Linked DNA regions of Stegostoma tigrinum. The protein of the gene in region 1 interacts with the protein of each later gene in a pairwise test. Links are inferred from orthologs where the notes say so. Each region holds a gene or a part of one and is shown in the gene's direction. Other genes may lie near its edges.

Evidence for each region.
Region 2: the proteins of histone-lysine N-methyltransferase Smyd1-like (region 1) and zbtb44 interact in binary tests that used the Homo sapiens proteins (3 or more experiments, as listed by UniProt). The link is inferred for Stegostoma tigrinum from reciprocal best matches to the Homo sapiens genes SMYD1 and ZBTB44.
Region 3: the proteins of histone-lysine N-methyltransferase Smyd1-like (region 1) and fam204a interact in binary tests that used the Homo sapiens proteins (3 or more experiments, as listed by UniProt). The link is inferred for Stegostoma tigrinum from reciprocal best matches to the Homo sapiens genes SMYD1 and FAM204A.

The regions. Positions count from the first base shown.
Region 1 is NC_081354.1:176,261,402-176,268,821, reverse strand, and holds the start of histone-lysine N-methyltransferase Smyd1-like, read left to right. Parts: upstream 1-4,404; 5' UTR 4,405-4,531; coding exon 4,532-4,668; intron 4,669-7,420. UniProt on the Homo sapiens protein: Methylates histone H3 at 'Lys-4' (H3K4me), seems able to perform both mono-, di-, and trimethylation. Acts as a transcriptional repressor. Essential for cardiomyocyte differentiation and cardiac morphogenesis.
Region 2 is NC_081385.1:17,220,776-17,228,287, forward strand, and holds the start of zbtb44 (zinc finger and BTB domain-containing protein 44), read left to right. Parts: upstream 1-4,476; 5' UTR 4,477-4,647; intron 4,648-7,512. UniProt on the Homo sapiens protein: May be involved in transcriptional regulation.
Region 3 is NC_081373.1:18,501,614-18,509,109, forward strand, and holds the start of fam204a (protein FAM204A), read left to right. Parts: upstream 1-4,450; 5' UTR 4,451-4,568; intron 4,569-7,496.

The DNA.
Region 1 (7,420 bases):
TGGTAGTAGATGGAAAGTATTCAGCCTGTGCCTTGGTGACCAGTGATGTTCTGCAGGGATCTGTTCTGTGACGTCTGCTTTTTGTGATCTTTATAAATGACTTGGATGAGGAAGTAGAAGGGTGGGTTAGTAAATTTTCCGTGACATGAAGGTTGGTGGAGTTGTGGTCAGCGTGGAGAGTTGTTGCAGGTTGCAAAGGGACTTTGATAGGATTCAGAGCTGGGCATAGAAGTGACAGATGGATTTCAACTCAGAAAAGTGTGAAGTGATTCGTTTTGGAAGGTCAAATTTGAATGCAGAATACAGGGTTAATGGCAGGATTCTCGGCAGTGCGGAGGAACAGAGGAACCTCGGGGCCCACATCCATAGATCCCTCAAAGTTGCTACCCATGTTGATAGTGTTGTAAAGAAAGCATATGGTGTGTTGGCTTTCATCGACAGGGGAAATGAGTTTAAGAGCCGCGAGGTTATGCTGCAGGTCTATAAAACCCTGGTTAGACCACACTTGGAATATTGTGTTCAGTTCTGATCACCTCAATATTGGAAAGATGTGGAAGCTTTAGAGAGGGTGCAGAGGAGATTTACCAAGATGCTGCCTGGATTGGAGGGCAGCCTTATGAGGAAAGGTTAAGGGAGCTAGGGCATTTTACATTGGAGCGAAGAAGGATGAGAGGTGAATTGTACAAGATGATGAGAGGCATAGATAAAGTGGATAGCCAGAGACATTTCCCGAGAATGGAAATGACTATTATGAGGGGGCATTATTTTAAGGAGATTGGAGGAAGGCGTAGGGGAGATATGAGAGGTAGGTTCTTTACACAGAGAGTGGTGGGAGTGTGGAATGCACTGCCGGTAGTCGTAGTAGAGTGAGATACATTAGGGTCATTAAAGCAACTCTTGGATATGCACATGGATGATAGTAAAAGAGACAACAAAGTGTGAAGCTGGATGAACACAGCAGGCCAAGTAGCACCTTAGGAGCACGAAAGTTGACGTTTCGGGCCTAGACCCTTCATCAGAGAGGGGTCTAGGCTCGAAAGGTCAGCTTTTGTGCTCCTGAGATGCTGCTTGGCCTGCTGTGTTCATCCAGCTTCACACTTTGTTGTCTCAGATTCTCCAGCATCTGCAGTTCCCATTATGTCTGGATGTTAGTAAAATGTAGGATATGCAGGGTAGTTTCGCTCTCAGAATAGAATAATAGGTCGGTACAACATCGTGGGCTGAAGGGCCAGTACTGTTGTATATTCTATGTAATTTAGATTCATTAAACTCACTTTGTGTATTTCATCATATTTCTTTGCATTAAGTTTTGACTATTCTCTCTTTGCCTCTTTCATGAATCAACCTTCTTCCAACTATAAAATTGGGTGGGATCTTCCCATGCCATGAATGATGATGACTAATTTGGAAGGACTGAGTGAGATGTTGAATGGGGGCTTTCATTCGGAATCAACAATTCAAATTTTCCAACTGAGTTCCAGATGTGGAAAGAACATTCCCGCCAGTGAGAGGTGAGAGGCCTATTAATAGGAATGATTGCTCAGCCTCAACCTCACTTATGTGTAAGTACACCTTGTTTATCTGCAGACTTCTGTCTACCACCCTCCAAATGGAAACCAGTTGCAGAAATACTCAACAAAGAAAAAGTTTCTAGAAAAAGTTTCTAAGTGGGTGCCTGGCAATCCCAGCCCACTGCTTCAGCCTCCAGAAACCAAGCACCAAAGTCTCACTGCGGTCTCCATGGACAGTGGCCGCACACATTCTATGCCCACGGACATTGGCAGCCAAGACCATATCAGTCTTTCTGCAATCTCATGCCACACCTCCGACCCATTCGCAGTAAGCTCCATTCTGGAATGCATCAATCATTGCAGTGCTGCGCATGATAGACTTGGTGTGGGGGAATAGGCATCGATAAGGGGTTGGAACGTTTTGCATCTTGGGGATCCTCACATGCTGTCTCAGCATTCACTCACTTTGCTTAGATGTTTACAACATCCTCAGGTTTACCATGCCTCTTTTCCCTATGCTCCTTCAGGCAGAATGAAGGGATAGATCATATTTCTACCTTGACTTGCCTTCTTGTGCAGACACAAAGCCCGACATTCTGTTATGGTGGTCAGCAGTTCGTCAGACCAGGGGTTGGGCATGTTACTGTGTGGCACTATACTGAGTCAATCTCACACCTGCATCATATGTCAGCACTGTACATAGAAAATACACCACACGCGCAGCAAGAAAATAGACTTTACTCGAAGGCTCCAGAGGCTAGCCCGAAACATCAGCATTTGTGCTCCTAAGATGCTGCTTGGCCTGTTGTGTTCATCCAGCCCCACACTTTGTTATCAAGGTAAGAACCTCTTCAGCCATGGGGTGCTGTTACAGCTGGTCAAGAACAGCCCTTGATGTCACCTCAGGAGCTTGGACATGGTCATTTGGCCAACTGGGATGGCCATTCACCTCTTTGTAGCTGAGGGGCTGAATGTCAAGCAGCACAGCACCCATCTGGTTCATTCTCCCCACATCATGGACTATTTTCTCCTGGAATGAGAGAAAGGGAGGGTTTGAATGAGATTAAGGTAGGAGGCAGAACTGGTAGTTTTGGAGCAGGTGGTCAGAAGCTGATGCTAGAAATGATGGGTTAGTGGTACTATCACTGGACTGTTAATCCAAGGAACCAGATAATGTCTTGGGGAGCCAGGTTTGAATCCCGCCGTGGCAGGTGGAGATTGAATTCAATAAATATCTGGAATTAAGAGTCTAATGATGATCGTGAATCCATTGTCGATTGTCAGAAAAACCCTGATGCAGGGCAGTTTTGCTCTCAGAGTAGAATAATAGGTCGGTACAACATCGTGGGCTGAAGGGCCAGTACTGTTGTATGTTCTATGTAATTTAGATTCATTAAACTCACTTTGTGTATTTCATCATATTTCTTTCAGAAAAACCCATTCAGTAATGTCCCTGAGGGAAGGAGACTGCCATCCTTACCTGGTCTGGCCTACATGTAACTCCAGACCCACAGCAATGTAGTTGACTCTTAACAGCCCTCTGGGCAATTAAGGATGGACAATAAATGCTAACTGGCCAGTGTTGCCGTCATCCCATGAATGAATAAAGAAAAAAAAGTGGCCTGAGTGAGTGAATAGGCAACCCAGAGGCCATGGTGTGAGGGAATTGGGTGGGTGAGAATGAGTGAGGAAAGATGCTTCACACAATACTGAGACTGGTATGGTAGGAAGAGGGTATAGTGGCAGAGATAGAGTGAGAGTAAGGTAGCAGAGTGAAGGTGGTGGTAGTCTTCCTGGCAGAGTGGGGAGGTCATTGACCTTCTTCTAGCGGTGCTGTCTTCCTTCCAGCCAGATGCCTGCAATTGCATTGACCTGGGTGGTAAATATGTGCCTTAGGCTGGCAGACTTTAGTGATGTGCCCTACTCTGTCAATCTTGGCGAAGGGGTAGTCCTAACCTTGCATCACTCTCTCCGGTGGAGCTCCAAGCCCCTGCCCACAAAGCAGGCACCAAATTCCCTTCTCTCCCATGCCAGGCTGAATGTCACCAAATGCTTGACCAGGTGAACAATGACCTTTTAAAAGTGGTACCAATACAAGGTCAGTGATAAGCACTTTCAGTTACAGCGAGTGGGAGAACGAGGTCAGTATCAGACAAGAGGGAAACTATTGGAATGTGGTAAATCGTCAATGGGGTGAGTTTGGAAACTGTAACATGAGAATACTCTTTAGGCTTTGCAAAGTGAAACTCTCTGTGCAAGTCAACAAAAATGACACTTTGCCTGAAGAAAAGGTAAGATTCAGCCCATATTTATTTCATTTAGCTTAGTGTTCAGATAAGCTTAATTTATTGTTGGATTGGGTAACCAGCACTACCCTTCTAACATGCCCCTTTCAATCGCTTAACCTTTGTCAGGTTTCTGGAGCCTTCCATGAAACATTCTCGTGCCTTTGCATTCACTAATGCTTTAGGCCAGTGCCAGAGTCTACTGTTCAGTGTGCAGAAATTCAAGAGACTGATAACACGCTGATATCTTTTAGCGAGTCTCACAAGTAATGGCAACTCCTCTTCAGCTGTCACACTTTGACGGACAATGGCATCTGTTTTCCAAAAATAAATCCACTGGCTGCACCCAGCTCATTTCTCAAGGGGATAGAGACATTACACATGTAATGTTGCAGGATTGTTGTAATACCTGACCAAAAATTTTCCTTTTTCTTTGAAATGAGCTATGACTAACTATTCTGAATCATCGTCAGGAGTTAAAGGAATGTACAATAGTTTGTCTGAATTAACCTAGGCATCGTGTTTCACCAGGTGGGTGTTCTTGCTATTTTCATCCACAAAGCCGACGCTCCCCCCCCCCCCTCAACTCTCCTCACCATTTTTTGACTTGGTACAGGCTGGATGAGTCAGACCATTTATAGAGCTCACTTTTGACTGCCTGAACGTGTCAAGATTAGCTGAAGATTAGTGGCCAAGGTTAAAGCTCGTAGTGCTGGGCTCTTGCTCATTCTCTCAATGACGGTCGGTGACATGGATAAAGTAGAAATCTTCGATGCAGATGGCAAGGGCAGGGGGCTGAAGGCCAAGCAAGATCTTCTGAGTGGGGATGTGGTCTTTGCTGAGCCAGCGTATGCTGCGGTTGTGTTTGACAAGTAAGTACGTCTGTCTACTTGTCTTCCTACAAAGTCACCTTACATTGCTCCAGAATGCAAGTTATAGAATCAAGTTCAGGTGTTGGATAAGAGTTTTTATTTACATTTGATTTTAATACAGCAGCGCTTCTTCGACATTTCATTTCCTATTGACTGTTTAATTGATTGAGTTCCTTGTCTTCATTGACTGAATTCTGCAAGGAATGCCCGAAAACTGTTGTCTTTAATTCCACTGGATACTACAGTCTTCCAGTTGACAATGATCTAGCTTCACCATGAGCTGGTGGGACAATCATATGGGATCATTTTACGTTGCTACAGGGAGTTACTTGGCTCAGTTCTTTCCATTTGGGGGTTTTCAGGCCAAAGGTATTTCTTTAGGGAGAAAGGTTCAGAACCCAGAGTCAAACAGCACAGAAACAGATCCTTTGGTCTGACTTGTCCACTTTGGCCAGATATCCCAATCTGACCAAACCCTATTTGCCAGCATTCAAAGTGGGAACTGTCATTTATTTCATAGAAACCAATCAGGGCTGTTTTTGAAGTGGTTGTTATTAAAATGGAGGAAAATTGACAAAACCTCATTTTTTTAGTTGGCCTTTCCTAGTTGCTTGGGAAGGTGATGACAAGCATTTCTATTTAACTTTTTAATCCTTGCCTTGCTAAAGCTCCAATGTCGGTATTTGATGTGAAACTGCAGGGTTTGAACCTCGTAGTGTTCCAGAAGTGGCGCTTAAATTCAGGTCAGGATGATCTTGATATTGAGGAGAACTTGCAGGTGACGCTGTCCCTCCAATCCTGGTACTCTTATCCTTCTCAGTGTGGCCGAGACTGTAGACTGGGACATGACATTCGAAATGCGGCTAGAAAGTGGCTGCTGTTACCGTAACCTGCCGGGAGATTCATCCAGTGGCAGATCTCCCGATCAAGTGGATCACATTCCGTCCAGGATGGTTTAATGTTTCAGATATCCCGTTCACTATGTCAATCTAATCCCAACTTGAGCCTTGTAAGTTATAGAGTGCACTGAATGAGTGGGAAGTGAGTCACTTGTCAGAGTGATGGAGTTTTTGCTTTGTTCTTGTGTCTGTCTTGTTGCTTTGACTTAGCATACTCGACAAAGGATTTAGAATCACGGATTTGTGGAACTTCCGAAGGAGGCCTTTCAATCGATCATGTCTAAGATAGATCACAACAAAAACAAGTCACCTATTGCCATTCCTCTGCCTTTTCCCTGATAGAATCATAAAATGATCAATGGTGGAATGTTTATATGTAGTGCTGTTGGAGACTTAGGGAGAAATGCGAAGTGGTTACACAGTCTGCATTTGGATTCACAATGTGAAGGAAACTGCATGGTGAGCAATGAGTACAGAAGGCTGGATTGAAAGAAAAAGTACAAGAAAACTGCTGCCTCACCTGTAAGATGTGCTTGGGACCCCGAACGGTAAGAAAGAAGAGGGGACAGTTCCACTGTCACAATTCTACCAATGCATGGGGAGGGGGGCATGGGTTTGCTCTCAGTACAGCTGAGCTATTTCCTACTATTCACATCTATTTTGAATCCAGATCTCTCCTTTGTGGCCATTAGAATTCACTTTGCCTTTTGCTCCAGGCATTCTCATGATCTGTTCCCCTCACCCCCCGTCCACCTTTGTCAACAGCATAAAAAGCATTATTTTCCAGCCCTCTTCAATTCTGAGGAAGAATCACTGGATTTGAAATGTTTCTCTCTTCAGAGATGCTGCCAGGCCTGCTGTGTTTCTCTGCCACTTTCTGTTTTTATTTCTGATTCCCAAAGTCCACAGTACTTCAATCCCACATAACTGCTCTGCTCAATATGGTTTGCATCAGGTGTGTCTCTCCTGGGGGAAAGCAGAAATGTTTGTTGCAATGTCCTGAAAAGATAAAACATCCTGGTTGACTCTTAGGAAACCCTGGTTTGCACTCAGCCTGAGAGGGAACATTTGGGAAGACATAAACCACATTGAGACTTCACTGGGGATGTACAGAGGTCAAGTCAAGACATCAGAGAGTGAAAGTAAATAGCCCATTTGTCTCACCTTTCCTATCTGTGACAGAGTCTGCAGAACAAGCAATGGACTTATCAACCCTTTCAAAAGTTGGGAAGTTATGATGTAGTTGCTCTGGATCTTGGTGCAGTTGCACTTGGAGTATGGTGTTCAGTTTTGGTCACCTTGCTATAGGAAGGATGTTATTAAACTGGAAAGAGTACGGAAGAAATTTACAAGGATGTTACCAGGAGTCAAGGGACTGAGTTATTGGGAGAGGTTGGACAGGCTAGGATTTGTTTCTTTAGAGCGTAGGAGTCTGAAGGGTGATCTTATAAAAGTGTATAAGATCACGAGAGTCATGGTTTAGGGTGAATGCACTCAGTCTTTTTTCCAGGGTTGGGGAATCGAGGATTACAGGGCATCAGTTGAAGGTAAGAGGGGAAAGAATACTTTGGAACCTGAGGGGCAACTTTTTTACACAGAGGGTGGTACACATATGGAATGAGCTGCCAGTGGAAGTGGTTGAGGCAGGTACATTAACAACATTTAAAAGGCATTTGGATGAATACATTGAAAGGAAAGGATGAGAAAGATATGGGTCAAGTGCATGGAAATGGGGTTAGCGTGGATGGATATTTTGGTCGGCATGGACCAGTTTGGGCTGAAGGGCCTTTCTCCATGCTGTAGGACTCTATGGCCCTGTGACACTATATCCCATCAAACCATAGTGGATGCAA
Region 2 (7,512 bases), on another chromosome or scaffold:
CCCCAATAAATGCTTCCATTTGGAGTATTTTGTCTGTCTGGCTGTCCCAATGCTCTTATCTATCTATTATCATTTAAATTCTCTTAAGAATTACATTTTATTTACATTGCAAAATACTATTTCCAAAGTAAAATGACCATTATGCTACACATTATTATTTCACTTGCTCTCTTCCTCTTCTTCCGTATCCTTTTTCGTTTTCCAGATCAATTTTGAGACAGGAAGGCAGACAGATGACCTATTTCCAAACTTTCACTTTTCCTTTCTTTAAAATTAATGCACAAGAATTGTCTTGGGATGATTTTCTCCCCTCTTTAATTCCAAGGAATGTATTTGGAGTTTGTTTGCATTTTTGAACAAGATGAGTAAAAATGTGTACATTTTAACAAAGTGTAGTGTAACAAGTTTTGGTTTTAAAAAGTGCAATCTATTTCCACCATAAACATTTCATAAGCTAGGATGAAATATGTTCAAGAGTCTAGCTAATGTTGATCCACACAATAGTATATGTTCTTTTGTTTTCCCTTTAGGGTGAATCTAATCTCTCTTTGATGTAATTCTTTGATAAAGCAGCTTAGTACAATATAGATCACATGTTGGTGGTTACATCTTTCTTACCATACCAAGCTTGAAGGCACCATCCTTTGGGGTATTGCTTCTTTACTGACCTATGTCTGTATTCTAACAACTGTGCTAATTAAATTCAAATGAAAGCAGACTTAAACCATTTTGCTTAATCTAACTCACGTGGCAGACGTAACACCTCATAACCTATGATCTGGGCTACATTCCAAAGTACTAATGCATATTGTGAAAGTTCATGTAAACCTGTTCATAATAGACATTGACCATTACTTTGTGCAAGGCTGAATCGGCTCTTTTTTTTTACCATATTATGCTTTGAAGATCATAGATTGTCAATGTCTCCTTTCATAACCTTTTGATGCAACAGAACTCTTTAATGGAGCAAGGAAGTAAGAATGTAATATTCACTCATTGCATGACTCTTCAGTAAGAGGACTGGAAGACTGAAGCTTGTGGTATAAGAGGACACTTTCCCAGGGATGGAGACATGAAAAAAAGTTAGGAGCATACAAGTGTTTCAAGTGATGTGTGTTTGATGGCTCCCACAGACTGCACAAAAAGACACATATAGCAGAGGCAGCGGACACTCGACTCTTACAGGAAAGCCAGTACACTAAGGGTATAACTGTGTTTCTCCAAACATTCTTCTTTACGTAAAAGAAAATGCACCTACAATCCTTCGTATTACAAGTTATGTAAGTTACCAAATGTATGTGATCACAAAGAAAATAATTTTCATTAACAAGCCAGTGTGTTAGTGAAAATCTCGACCCCTGGCGGGGTCTGTCGATTCCACGATCGGTCAATGAGCACTCGCAATCGGTCTGGCTGTTTAAGACTTTACTCTTTATTTCTTCATACGGCGGGGTACAGATCATCCGGAAACACAGAAGTTGAGCACTTCCGTATTCCTCGGAGGAACTGCACACACAATGTAACGCAAAGACATTTTTATACTTTTCTTAAAGGAGGGTACATGGCGTGATCGCATAGTGTATTCAAATGAGTACCAATCAATACATGATATTGCTTCATTGACAGTTACTTAATCCAATAATATTAACTGGTAAACAACTTATGTCACAACGCTTAGGTTACTTTTTATCTCGCCACACAGCACCACAACATTTGCAACCGAAGGTCAGTTAGAATGGTTAGTACTGCATTATCTTATCATCACTGCATTATTTATGCAGCTCTAGCAGAGTTTACAGTTCCCAGGCTAGCAGAGCAGCTCTCGCAGAATTTACAGTTCCCAAGCTAGAAGCCATTTTTGTTGTGCTAACTTGCACCAAGAAGCCATCTTGAGCCTTTATCCAAGTTTCAGACTGACATTAGCACTCGTCACTTTTGTCAACTCCGCACATGCGTTCCAAATATAGTTCTTAACTTGTGATGGTCTTCTCACAGCATGTATAAATGTTGTCATTGGCTGTTCCTCAGGTACTGGCTCAATCCTAGGGCAATGTTTCCCTCATGCATGTTGTTGTTGTGGTAACGGTTGTTGCCAATCCATTGCTCTGGCTATTGAACAGTGGCCTACATGATTGATGGTCATTCAGTACTCCATGCAAGTGCTAAAGTTACTTCTTCCCGATCAGCTTCCTCTGGTGAAGTCTTAGCTTCTCTAATTTTACATAAAGATCTGTGGCTGCTATTATATATTTGGTCATTCACATTCATTGTGTATGTTCAACTGCTCTACAGTTGTCCCAAGTAGCTACACAGGGTTACTTTTGCTCAGCGTGTTGAATGGTTGCACTTTGCATACTCTCCAATACTCAGCTCTGGAAATGATTTGGCAGATTTATCAAAATGACATTTGGCCTATTGTCATTCCATCTGATTTTGTCACTCCTTACTTTTAGCTTCAATAGTTTCGTTTTGTCATTAGCAGAGAACTTTGGATTCAGTGTGACATTAGTCTTTAGACGAGATGTGGAAACTGTTGGCTCGTTCAGAAGAATTTGTTAAGGAAATGTCACATCTCCTAACTTGTTAGAGTACTTTGAAGAGGTGACAGAGAGGGTTCATGAGGGTAATGCTGTAGATGCGGTATAAATGGACTTCCAGAAGGTTTTTGATTCAGTGCCACACCGAAGACAAGCGTAAAAGGTTATATCTTATAGAAGAGTCAATAGCAACGTGGATACAACATTAGCTAAGCGATAGGAAACAGATAGTAATTTTCAATGATTATTTTTCAGGCTGGAGTAGATTTTATAGCAGAGTCCTTGAGAGTTTGGATTGGGTCTCTTACGTTTTCTAACGTAGAGAATATAAATGGTTTATATTTTGGCATGCAGGAGACAATTTCAATGTTTGTGGATGACACAAAAGTTGGAAGCATTATAAATGTGAGGAGAACAATGCAGAACTTCAGATGGACATAGAAAAGATAGTGGAGCGGACAGGTAAGTGGCAGACGAAGTTGAAGTTTGATGTAAAGATGTGTGAGATGGTGCATTTTGGTAAAAGAACATGAATTTCCAGGATAAAATAAAGGGTGTTATTTTAAAGTTTGCCCTGGGGCAGCGACCTGATTGTACATGTGCATTAATAATTTGAGGTGGCACAACAAGAAGGGAGAGCTGTTAATAAAGTATACAGTATTCTAGGAGTATGGAGTACAAGAACATCCACAACATTTGCTATTATTTATATCCTCTACTCTGGCTTTAATCTTACCATTTGTTTTTCTTTTATTCCCCAACTGGCTGTTTTCATTTGGTCTGTCTCACAACATATTGCAAAACCTGATCTATTTCCCCATTGATATGCACTGACTAATGATTGATAACCTCAAAGTTTCTTCACTTGCTTATAGCTTTCTTGAATATGTTTCTCCTCAGCCAACAGCTTTGCTCTCAATGCAAGTTTTCTAAGGCCCGTGTCTTATGTCATCATTCAGTTGCCCAAAGTCTCAAGATCCAGTTAAATCAGTGTGGTCGATAGACTCCTTCTCCCCTTGAGTTCTGATACTGAATATCATTCATAAGTAACATTGATGTGGCATCCAATGTGTGACATTTAAGCTTTCATCTGACTTTTTTGCTCCTTTAGGCTGCAGTCGGCTTGTAATATTCTTTAGGAACAAAAACAAAGTTGCTGGAAAAGCTCAGCAGGTCTGGCAGCATCTGTAGAGGAGAAAACAGAGTTAACGTTTCGGGTCCGGTGACCCTCGTAATATTATTTCCCGCGCATTGTAAGTGTAAGAAAAGTGCCAATACCTGCACAAATCCCGGGTCCTCTCTGATTGACAGTTGGTGCTGAGCCGCGTCCCTATCACACCTTGATTGACAGTTGGTACAGTGTGGCTCCGCCCCGGTCCGGTTTGATTGATATTTGGTGGTTAGCCGCGCCCCTCACCCTCTGAATGTCTTTTTGGACTGGTTGGCCCACCCCTCTCTATCTATAATTGGCAGTTGGTGCTGTGTTCCCGCCCTCTTTCCGTCTCTGATTGACAGTTGATGTATGTTGGCTGCGCCTCCTGGCACTCTCTGAGTTAACTGTTCGTACTCAGCCCCGCCCCTGTCCCTCTTTGATTGTCATTTGGACTGTGTTGGCCCTGCTCCCGCTCACTGACTGCTTGCGCTGAGCCCCGCCCCCTGGACCATAGTTATTGACAGTTGATGCTGAATTTTGCCCCATTGCCCTCTGATTGACAGTTGGTCTTGAGCCCCGCCCCAGATAGCTTTGAGTGACAGAAGATGCCTCTGCCCCCTTGGCCTTCACTGAAAATTTGTGCTTCGCGCTGGCCCCGCGGCCCTCTCTGATTGACAGTTGGTGGCGTGACCCCGCCCCTCGCTTCGCCGATCGACAGCTAGTGTCGGGCGGCCCCGCCCCCACGCCCCCTCTGATTGACAGTTGCTCTTTGAGGGGAGGGGGGCGTGCGCGGTGCAGGTTGGGAACAAAACAAACCCCCGGCTCGAGCGGGCGGACGGCGGCGGTTGTTCTGGGAGGGAGGGGGGTGCGGTGACGAGAAGGTGTCGAAGCCGAGACCGGACAGACGGAGCTGCGACACTGGCCGCGCAGTAAGCAGCGGGGGCTTGTAATTTAACGGTATATATCTGGGGAGTGGGGAGAGTGCGAATGAAGGGGGTGTCATCTTCAATCCTCTCCCCTCAGGCCTCTGACCCCGCTTTAGACTCCGAGCTCTCCGGCCGCCTGGGAGGCCGCGGGAAGGTTGAGTCTCTCCCTGTGCAGGGCAAGTAAAGGGGAGGGGAGAGGGGAAACCTTCCATGTGATTCTCCAACCCCCTCCACTATTGGGGCCTCCTAAGTAAGGCTGGGCTGAGGAGTCGCACCAACAGGTAGGTGCCTCCCTCACTCCAGCCCAGCACCACGGCCCTGCGTAAACAATGGCCCCATTGGGCTGACATATCGCCTCGGTCTGCATGCGATCACTGCCAGCGCGGCCCCACCGACCAAGGGCCGCAATTCACTCCTCGGTCTGCCCCATGTCTTCGTCATAGGCACTCATGCAAACCTCTGTCCGAAGTCATGATTCATGCACTTTTAATGCATTGCAATGTGTTTCTGTTTCCAGCAAAAAGAGGGGTAATTCCTAAGTGTGTTTCACTTTCCTATGTTCAGCGCCACAAGCAAAATGGTAGCATATTCAGACACCCACACCTCAGCATAGTTCTGCAAATGAACCAGTCTGTTTCTCCCGATTCTCCCGAAATACAGTAAGGGTTGTAAAAATTTCTAGCCGTCCACTCTTCTTATTGACTCAACAAAGAAGTAAACCGTAACACCCGCTCGTGCCTGAAATACTAAACAATAGTGAAATGAGTGTGCCGTGTTCAGTGAAGTCTCAAGTTAAAGACTTTGTTATGAAGTTCAAACTTGCAAATGCGTTAAATCATTCACTCTTGCCCTGGCTCATCTTTCTCCTTGATCCGTCACCACTCAATTGTTCAAAGCTTTGGTGCTGTCCAATAAAATTGATCAAATTTTAGAGTTGGATTATAATTGATTTGTGCTTCATAGTGTGATGATTAATGGAATAGATCTATCATGGTGCACACTGAAGAATTGTATAATATTATTGTGGGTAATTATATGATTATAATTCGGCATACAAAAGACATTTGGTAAGCCTCTGATCATGGATTCTAAACTAAATGTTTGATTCAGGAGCCTGAAAGTTGTAGAATATTATAAGAAATAATTCATCATAAAATCATAAGTTTGCTTAAATAAGATACCAGCAACTGAGCATTTTTTGGTTTTTCAAACCATATCAAAACAATGTCCAAGTTGACTGCCCTATAAAAAGGTTGATTTATGTCCTTGTATTTTAGAGGTTTGAGCAGTCCAGCTCAAATATATTTAACATTTAACACACATTGATTGATTAAAATTCAACTAGGCCAAACTTACTGATTTTATACCAGGATTTCTGAGACATGAAGCTGTTGTGACTTCTTAAATTTGTTTCACCAATGTGTGTAAATCAAAGAAAACGTTCCTTAAGTGGAGTCTCAGATAGGGTAGTGAAGGAAACATTTGGTATTCTTGCCTTTATTAGTCAATGCATTGAGTATAGGAGTTGGGAGGTCATGTTGCAGCTGTACAGGACATTTGTTAGGCAACTTTGGAATACTGCATTCAGTTCTTGTCTCCCTGCAGTAGGAAAGATGTTAAACTTGAAAGGGTTCAGAAACAATTTAGAAGGATGTTGCCAAGGTTGGAGGGTTTGAGCCATAAGGACGGGCTGAATAGGCAAGGGTATTTTCCCTGGAGCGTCGGAGGGTGAGGGGTATCTTATAGAATTTCATAAAATCATTAGGGGAATGGATAAGGTGACTAGTCAGTGTCTTTTCCCCAGGATAGTTTTAAGATGAGGGAAACATATTTACAAGGGCCCCATGGGGCAACTTTTCACGCAGAGGGTGGTACATGTATGAAATGAACTACCAGAGGAAATGGTGAAGGCTCGTACGGTTACAACATTTAAAGGACATCTGGATGAATATATGAATAGGAAGGGTTTAGAGGGATATTGGCTAAATGCTGGGAAATGGGACTAGATTAATTTAGAATATCTGGATGGCATAGACAAGTTGGACCAAAGAGTCTGTTTCCATACTGTACATCTCCAACTCTAAATTGTTATGAAATAAAACAAAGAAATGTGGATGCTGGCAATCTCAAACAAAAACAGAACTTGCTGGAAAAACTCATCAAAGTCACCAGACTGTATGTTAACTGCTTTATTGCCATAGATGCTACCAGGTGTGTCAAGCTTTTCCAAGTAAATCATTATTTTAGCTCGTAAGTGTGGTTTCCTTCTATTTCCAATATTTATTGATAATGTGCAATTGCTTACTGCTTTCATGATGAATTCATCTGCCATATTATTTCAGTATACATGAATCTTTGTTTTGTTCCATATTCTGTTTAGTAGCTGGTTCAAGTAACAACCACTGCTGATGAATGTGAAGGTTTATTGCATTTTTTAAAAGGTTAAGATTAGAGAAATATATAATGGCGCAAGCTGTTTACTCTCAGGGTTAAGGAGCATAAATAGTTCATCATGAAATTCTGAGCTAAACTTTGATTACTAATCATAGTGAAAATGAATAGTACTAGGTGACAAAGTAGAACTGTTGACTTGCAATAAGCATAATTTGGGCTGTTAGCTTTCTGTGTAGATCAATCTTTATATCTGGGTTAAATTTAAATTGTCATTCTAGGGACAACTGCACTTTGTGATTAAGGTACGTTACTTGTTTTCCAGAAGATATAATGGGGCAGGTGGTCTATTTCTGTCCTGTAAACTTTGAGTTTAGCTGTGCTCAGTTAGGTGCTTTAAGAATGACTATGCACGAGTGGCATTGGTTGGTAGAAGTACAAAATTGACTGGTCTGATAGCAATAACTCGGATAATGCATGGTCTGCCAGCAAGTGGGAATTATTG
Region 3 (7,496 bases), on another chromosome or scaffold:
GAGAGTGACCGCTGTCTGGAGACACATGCTGACCCTCTCTCCGGACAGTGGTCACTCTCAGGGACACACACCGACCCTACCTTGGGACAGCGGTCACTGAGGGTCACCCGCTGACCCTCTCACTGGACAGTGGTCACTCAAAATGTGCCACACTGACCCTCTGACCACTGTCGGGAGACAGGGTCACCGTGAGTCCCTGAGTCTCCGGATAGTGGTCACTCTCAGGGACACACGCTGATCCTCGCTCCGGACAGCGGTCACTCTCAATATTTCATGCTAACCATCTCTCTGGACAGCGTCACTGTCAGGTTCTCACACTGACCCTCTCTCCAGACAGCATCACTCTCAGGGACAGAGACTGATCCTCTCTCTGGACAGCAGTCACTCTCATGGTCTCACACTGGCCCTCTCTCTGGACAGCGGTCACTCTCAGGGACTCGCACTAAACCTCCGTCTGGACACCGGTCACTCTGTAACACAGGCTGACCCTCCCTCTGGACAGCAGTCTCTCTCAGGATCTCACACTGACCCTCTCTGTGGATAGCGGTCACTCTCAGGGTCTCACACTGACCCTCTCTCCGGACAGCGGTCACTCTCAGGGTCTCACAATGACCCTCTCTCTGGGCAGAGGTCACTCTCAGGGTCTCACACTAACCCTCTCTCCAGACAGTGGTCACTGTCAGGGTCTCACACTGACCATCGCTGCAGACAGCGGTCACTCTCAGGGACACACGCTGATCCACTCTCCGGACAGCAGTCACTCTGTGTCTCTCACTGACCCTCGCTCTGGACAGCAGTCGCTATCTGTCTCTCGCACTGACTCTCTGGCCACTTTCCGGAGACAGGGACAGTGTTTGTCCCTGAGAGTGACCACTGTCCAGAGACATTCAGGGACACATGCTGACCCTCTCTCTGGACAGTGGTCACCCTCAGTAACACCAACAGACCCTCTCTCCGGACAGTGGTCATTCCCACATTCACACACTGATCCTCTCTCCGCAGTGTGGTCAATGTCAGGCCCCACACTAATCCTCTCTCTGGACAGTGGTCACTCACAGGGACTCATGCTGACCCTCTCTCTGGACAGCAGTCATTCTCAGTATCTCACGCTGATCCTCTGTCTGGACAATGGTCAGTCAGGTACCACAGTGACCCTCTCTTGGACAGCGGTCACTCTCAGGGACACACTTTGACCCTCTCTCTGGACAGCAGTCACTCTCAGGGACAAACGCTGATCCATTCTCTGGACAGCAGTCACTGTGTCTCACACTGACCCTGTCTCCGGACAGCGTTCACCCTCACTATCTCACGCTGTCCGTCTCTCCGGAAAGCAGTCACTGTCAGGGTCTCACAGTGACCCTTCCTACGGACACCAGTCACTCTCAGGGACAAATGCTGTCCTTCTCGCGAGACAGCGCTTACTGTCAGGGTCACATGCTGATCTTCTCTCCAGACAGCGGTCACTGTCAGGGTCTCACACTGACCCTGTCGCCGGACAGCGGTCACTGTCAGGGTCTCACACTGACCCTCTGGCAACTTTGCAGTGACAGGGACAGCGTTTGTCTCTGAGAGTGACCGCTGTCTGGTGACACTCAGGGACACACACTGACCCTATCCTAGGAATGCGGTCACTCTGAGGGTCACCCGCTGACCCTCTCACTGGACCGTGGTCACTCTGTGTCTCATACTGACCCTCTGACCGCTGTCGGAAGAGAGGGTCACCGTGTGTCCCTGAGAGTCTCCAGACAGTGGTCACTCTCAGGGACACATGCTGATCCTCTCTCCGGACAGCAGTCACTCTCAGGGACACTCCCTGATCCTCGCTCCAGATAGTGGTCACTCTCAATATCTCATGATAACCATCTTTCCGGACAGTGGTCACTCACGGACAGAGGCAGATTCTCTCTCCAGACAGCGATCACTCTCAGGGTCTCACACTGACCCTCTCTCTGGGCAGCGGTCACTCTCAGAGACATAGGCTGATCCTCTCTCCGGACAGCAGTCACTCTGTGTCTCAGACTGACCCTTGCTCTGGACAGCGGTCACTCTCATGGTCTCACACTGACCCTCTCTCCGGATAGCAGTCACTCTCAGCAACATAGGCTGGTCCTCTCTCTGGACGGCAGTCATTCTCAGTGTCTCACACTGACCTTCTGTTTTGACAGCAGTCACTCTCAGGCTATCATACTGACCCTCTCTCTGGACAGCGGTCACACTCAGGGTATGACACTGACCTCCTGTCTTTACAGCGGTCACACTCAGGGTCTCACATTGACCCTCTCTCCGGACAGAGGTCACTCGCAGGGTCTCACACTGACCCTCTCTCCGGACAGAGGTCACTCGCAGGGTTTCACACTGACCCTCTCTCCGGACAGAGGTCACTCTGAGGGTCACCCGCTGACCCTCTCACTGGACTGTGGTCACTGTGTCTCACACTGACCCTCCTGACCGCTGTCAGGCGAGAGGGTCAACGTGTGTCCCTGTGAGTCTCCAGCCAGTGGTCCCTCTCAGGGACATATGCTGACCCTCTCTCCGGACAGCATTCACTCTCAGGGACACTCCCTGATGCTTGCTCCGGACAGCGGTCACTCTCACGGACACAGGCTGATTCTCTCTCCAGACTGCGGTCACGTGCTGGGTCTCACACTGATCCTCGTTCCGGACAGCGGTCACTCTCAGGGATTCGCACCGACCCTCTCTCCGGGCAGCGGTCACTGTCAGGGACATAGGCTGATTCTCTCTGGACAGCAGTCACTGTGTCTCCCACTGACCCTTGCTCTGGACAGCGGTCACTCAGTGTCTCACACTGACCCCCTCTCCGGACAGCGGTCATTCTCAGGGTCTCACACTGACCCTCTCTCCAGACAGCGGTCATTCTTATGGTCACACGCTGATCCTCTCTCCAAAGCGTGGTCAACGTCAGGGTCACACACTAATCCTCTCTCCGGACAGTAGTCATTCACAAGGACCCATGCTGACCCTCTCTCTGGACAGCAGTCAGTCTCAATATCTCATGCTGACCCTCTCTCTGGTCAACGGCCACTCTCAGGGACACATGGTGGCCATCTGTCTGGACAGAAGTCACTCTCAGGGACATACTTTGACCCTCTCTCTGGACAGAGGTCACTCTCAGTAACACCAACAGAGCCCTCTCTCCGTACAGCGGTCATTCTCAGGTTCACAGGTTGATCCTCTCTCCACAGCGTGGTCAATGTCACGGTCACACACTAATCCTCTCTCCGGACAGTGGTCACTCACAGGGACTCACGCTGACCCTCTCTCCGGACAGCGGTCATCCTCAGTATCTCACACTGACCCTGTGTCTGGACAACAGTCACCCAGGGACCCACACTGACCCTCTCTCTGGACAGCGGTCACTCTCAGTATCTCACACTGACCATCTCTCTGAACAGTGGTCACTCTCAGTAACACCAACAGACCCATTCTCCGGACCACGGTCATTCTCACGGTCACTCGCTGATCCTTTCTCCAGAGCGTGGTCAATGTCAGGGTCACACACTAATCCTCTCTCCGGACAGTAGTCACTCACAAGGACCCATGCTGACCCTCTGGACAGCAGTCAGTCTCAATATCTGATGCTGACCCTCTCTCTGGACAGCGGTCAGTCTCAATATCTCACGCTGACCCTCTCTCTGGACAGCAGTCAGTCTCAATATCTCACACTGACCCTCTCTCTGGACAATGGTCACTCTCAGGGACACATGGTGGCCGTCTGTCTGGACAGCAGTCACTCTCAGGGACACACTTTGACTCTCTCTGGACAGAGGTCACTCTCAGTAACACCAACAGACCCTCTCTCCGGACAGCGGTCATTCTCAGGTTCACACGCTGATCCTCTCTCCACAGCGTGGTCAATGTCAGGGTCACACACTAATCCTCTCTCCGGACAGTGGTCACTCACAGGGACTCACGCTGACCCTCTCTCCGGACAGTGGTCACTCTCACTATCTCACGCTGACCCTCTCTCCGGAAAGCAGTCACTGTCAGGGCCTCACACTGACCATCCCTATGGACAGCGGTCACTCTCAGGGACAAATGCTGTCCTTCTCGCTAGACAGCAGACACTCTTAGGGTCACACGCTGACCCTCTCTCCAGACAGCGGTCACTCTCAGGGTCTCACACTGACCCTTGCTCTGGACAGAGGTCACTCTCAGGGTATCACACTGACCTTCTGTCTTGACAGCGGTCACTCTCAGGGTATCACACTGACCCTCTCTCTGGGCAGCGGTCACTCGCAGGGTCTCACACCGACCGCCTCTCCGGACAGCGGTCGTTGTCAGGGTCTCACACTGACCATCGCTCCGGACAACTGTCACTCTCACGGACACCAGCTCACTGTCTCTGGTCCTCTCCTGACGTCATAGCGTTTCCCGCCCCCACCGACCGACCGAGGCTCCACGTGACCCAACCTCACACTATATGCGTTCCCCCGCCGCTTTCCTCCTTGTCTCCGTCTGTTGGTTCCGGCCTCAACCTAGCGGCCGAGCGCCATCTTGGAGGAAGTTGTTTCCCGGGAATCGGCGGTGTGTGACTCTCGACTGGCGAGGTAAAAATAATTAAACATTGATAACATAACGTGTGGTTTTGTAGTAGTAGAGCGTTGGAAATCAAGTAGTAAAGCAGCAAATCCGGCTGTGGACCACAATCAGCCGGTGTTTCTCAGCTTGTTCTTTAATCGTCATTCTCCTGTTCTCTGTCACTCCTTTTCCTCACTCTCTGCTTCCTACTGTTCCCCTTGTCAGACTTTGTTGTTTCCCCGGGTGATCATTGCCTAATGCTTTGACTTTTTATTTTATTTTCATTCTCTGCTCTTCCTGGGATCTCTTACAGATCTTTTCAGATGAAAAGAGGTATCTGCATGTCCTGGTGGGGTAACAACATCTCCTTGTTGTTCCAGAGATCACTAGCATAGTTTTTTTTAAAAAAGAAGCATCTCTTGTTGGTTGCTGCAGCCCTTCATCCATCCATTGACTACTTTCATCTGCTTCACTTCATTCTTCTGTGAATACATTCACGCTTCTCGCCCACTTTACCATCCGTTTCCCCCGTCGACAGCAGTTCCCCTGTATTTACGATGGAATATTTCCCATCTCGCTACTGACTTTTCCCATTCTCCCACGGTGTACCCTTCGTTTTCCCATTGCCCGGCCATTTGCGCTGCATTTTTCTAATTTTATTGCCTCTCAGAGACGCAGACATTCATTTCACGTCAATCATTGAAAGAATTTGATTACCCAACTCTACCTCATCTATATTTCAGTATTTTACTTGCAAATAATTTTGGAAGCATATGTAAGTGACCGTGTAAAAAAGTAACTGAATAGAATTAAAATGAACAAATACACCAAGCCAAAGTAAATTGAATATGCTTGAGTTATAAATGAACAAGTTGCAAATAGTAATCAGAATTTAAATAATTTACAGAGTAATATGGTAAATTTGAAGATTTGAACATATACAATATGCAGTTATCCAATAGCAGTTGGCAGTCAATTAATTTGAACATGACACACAATGCTTGGTAGCATTGAGTTCCAAACTCAACACGAGATTTTAACTGGTGGTAGAAACTGGGGAACTAATTCTACTGAGAAGTTCATCAGCCTCTTTGGTTACAAATGCAAAGCACAAAATGTCATTGTCATCGAAATTTTTGAGATTGGATCATTTTCATTCATGTTTCCCGGTCATTACTTTTTATAGAGCAGAGGTTTTTCTTTGAATTTTTAGGACCTTATGCTGTACAAAATTTTTTTGAAATGATGGGTTTTATCTGCTTATCCATGTAGATTTTTTTGTACATTTGTAAGCACAGAATTGCATAAATTGGAAACAAACAATGCAAATTGAAACAGGAAAAAAAAACACACCAAGGAATATTGTAGATATCAGCTCTAAAATGCATTGAAAATAAAGGAGAAATGATGCTGTATATGCTTTTGGAAACAATGAAACAAATGAATAACTAAAGAAGGGACAACCCTTTAAGGGCATTGTAACAAAATTAAAATCTGAAAAAGGAAACTTAAAAATTATTTCTTATCAGCCTGTTCAGAGATGTTATTACACACCTCTAGAACAGGTGGGACGTGAACCTGGGTCTCCTGGCTCAAAGACAGGGAGGCTACCAATGCACCACAAGAGCCCTCAAATGTGACCCAAATTTACAAATTCAAATTGAGATGTAATTTGCAGGGCTGCTACTGAACTCCACTGATCATGGAATCGCAAGTTTATCAATGGTACTGAGCATTATCGCATCATTTTTAGAGAGTACATTGACTGCATTTTTGAGTTTTTGTATGCTGACGTAGTACACTTAATCCAAAGCAACTAGGGATAGAATTCCAGGATTTTGACTGAGCAATAGTGGAGAAACAGTGATAAATTTGCAAGTTAGTATGGTGAGTGGCTTGGAGGGGACTTTGAAGGTGCTGGTGTTCCCATGTATCTGCTGCCCTTGTCCTTCTGGATGGAATTGATCGTAGTTTGGCAGGTGCTGTCTGAGAAGCTTTGGTGAATTTTCTGCAGTGCATCTTGTAGATAGTACACACAGTTGCTACTGAGCGTTAGTGGTGGATGGAGCAGATACTTATGGATACCATGGCAATCAAGCAGGCTGCTTTATCATAGAATCCCACAGTGTAGAAACAGGCTGTTTAGCCCAACAAGTCCACATCTACCCTCCAAACACCATCCCACGCAGACCTACCCCACCACCCTATCCCTGTAACCCTGCACTTCCTGTGGCTACTGTACCTAGCTTACACATCCCAGAACACTATGCACATTTATCATGGCCAATCCACCTAATTTGCACATCTTTGGACTGTGAGAGGAAACCAGAGCACCCAGAGGAAATCCACGCAGACTCGAGGAGAACATACAAACTCCACACAGACAATCGCCCGAGTATGGAATTGAACCTGGTTCCCTGGCGACATGAGGCAGCAGTGCTAACTACTGTGCTGCCCTGGATGATTTCAAGCTTCTTGAGTGTTGTTGGGACTGCCCTCATTCAGGCAAGTGGAGAATATTCCATCTGCTACCAACTTGTCTTGTAGATGGACAGGCTTTGGGGAGTCAGGAGGTGAGCTACATGCCACCGTTTTCCTTGCTTCAGACCTGCTTTTGTAGCCAGTGCTTCTGTGTGGTGAGCTTAGTTGAGCTTCTAATCAATGATAACTCCCAGAAAGTTGATCGTGGGGAATTCAATGATGGTAACACCATTGAATGTCAAGGGCGGTGGTTAGATTATCTCTTATTGCAGATGGTCACTGCCTGGCATTTGTGTGGTGTGAATGTCACTTGCCACTTGTCAGCCCAAGCCTGGGTATTGTCCAGATCTTGTTGCATTTGAACACTGATTGCATCAGTATTTGAGGAGTCATAAATGGTGCTGAACATTGTGCGATCATCGGCAAACGTCCTCACTTCAGACCCGATAATGGAGAGAAAGTCATTGATAAAGCAG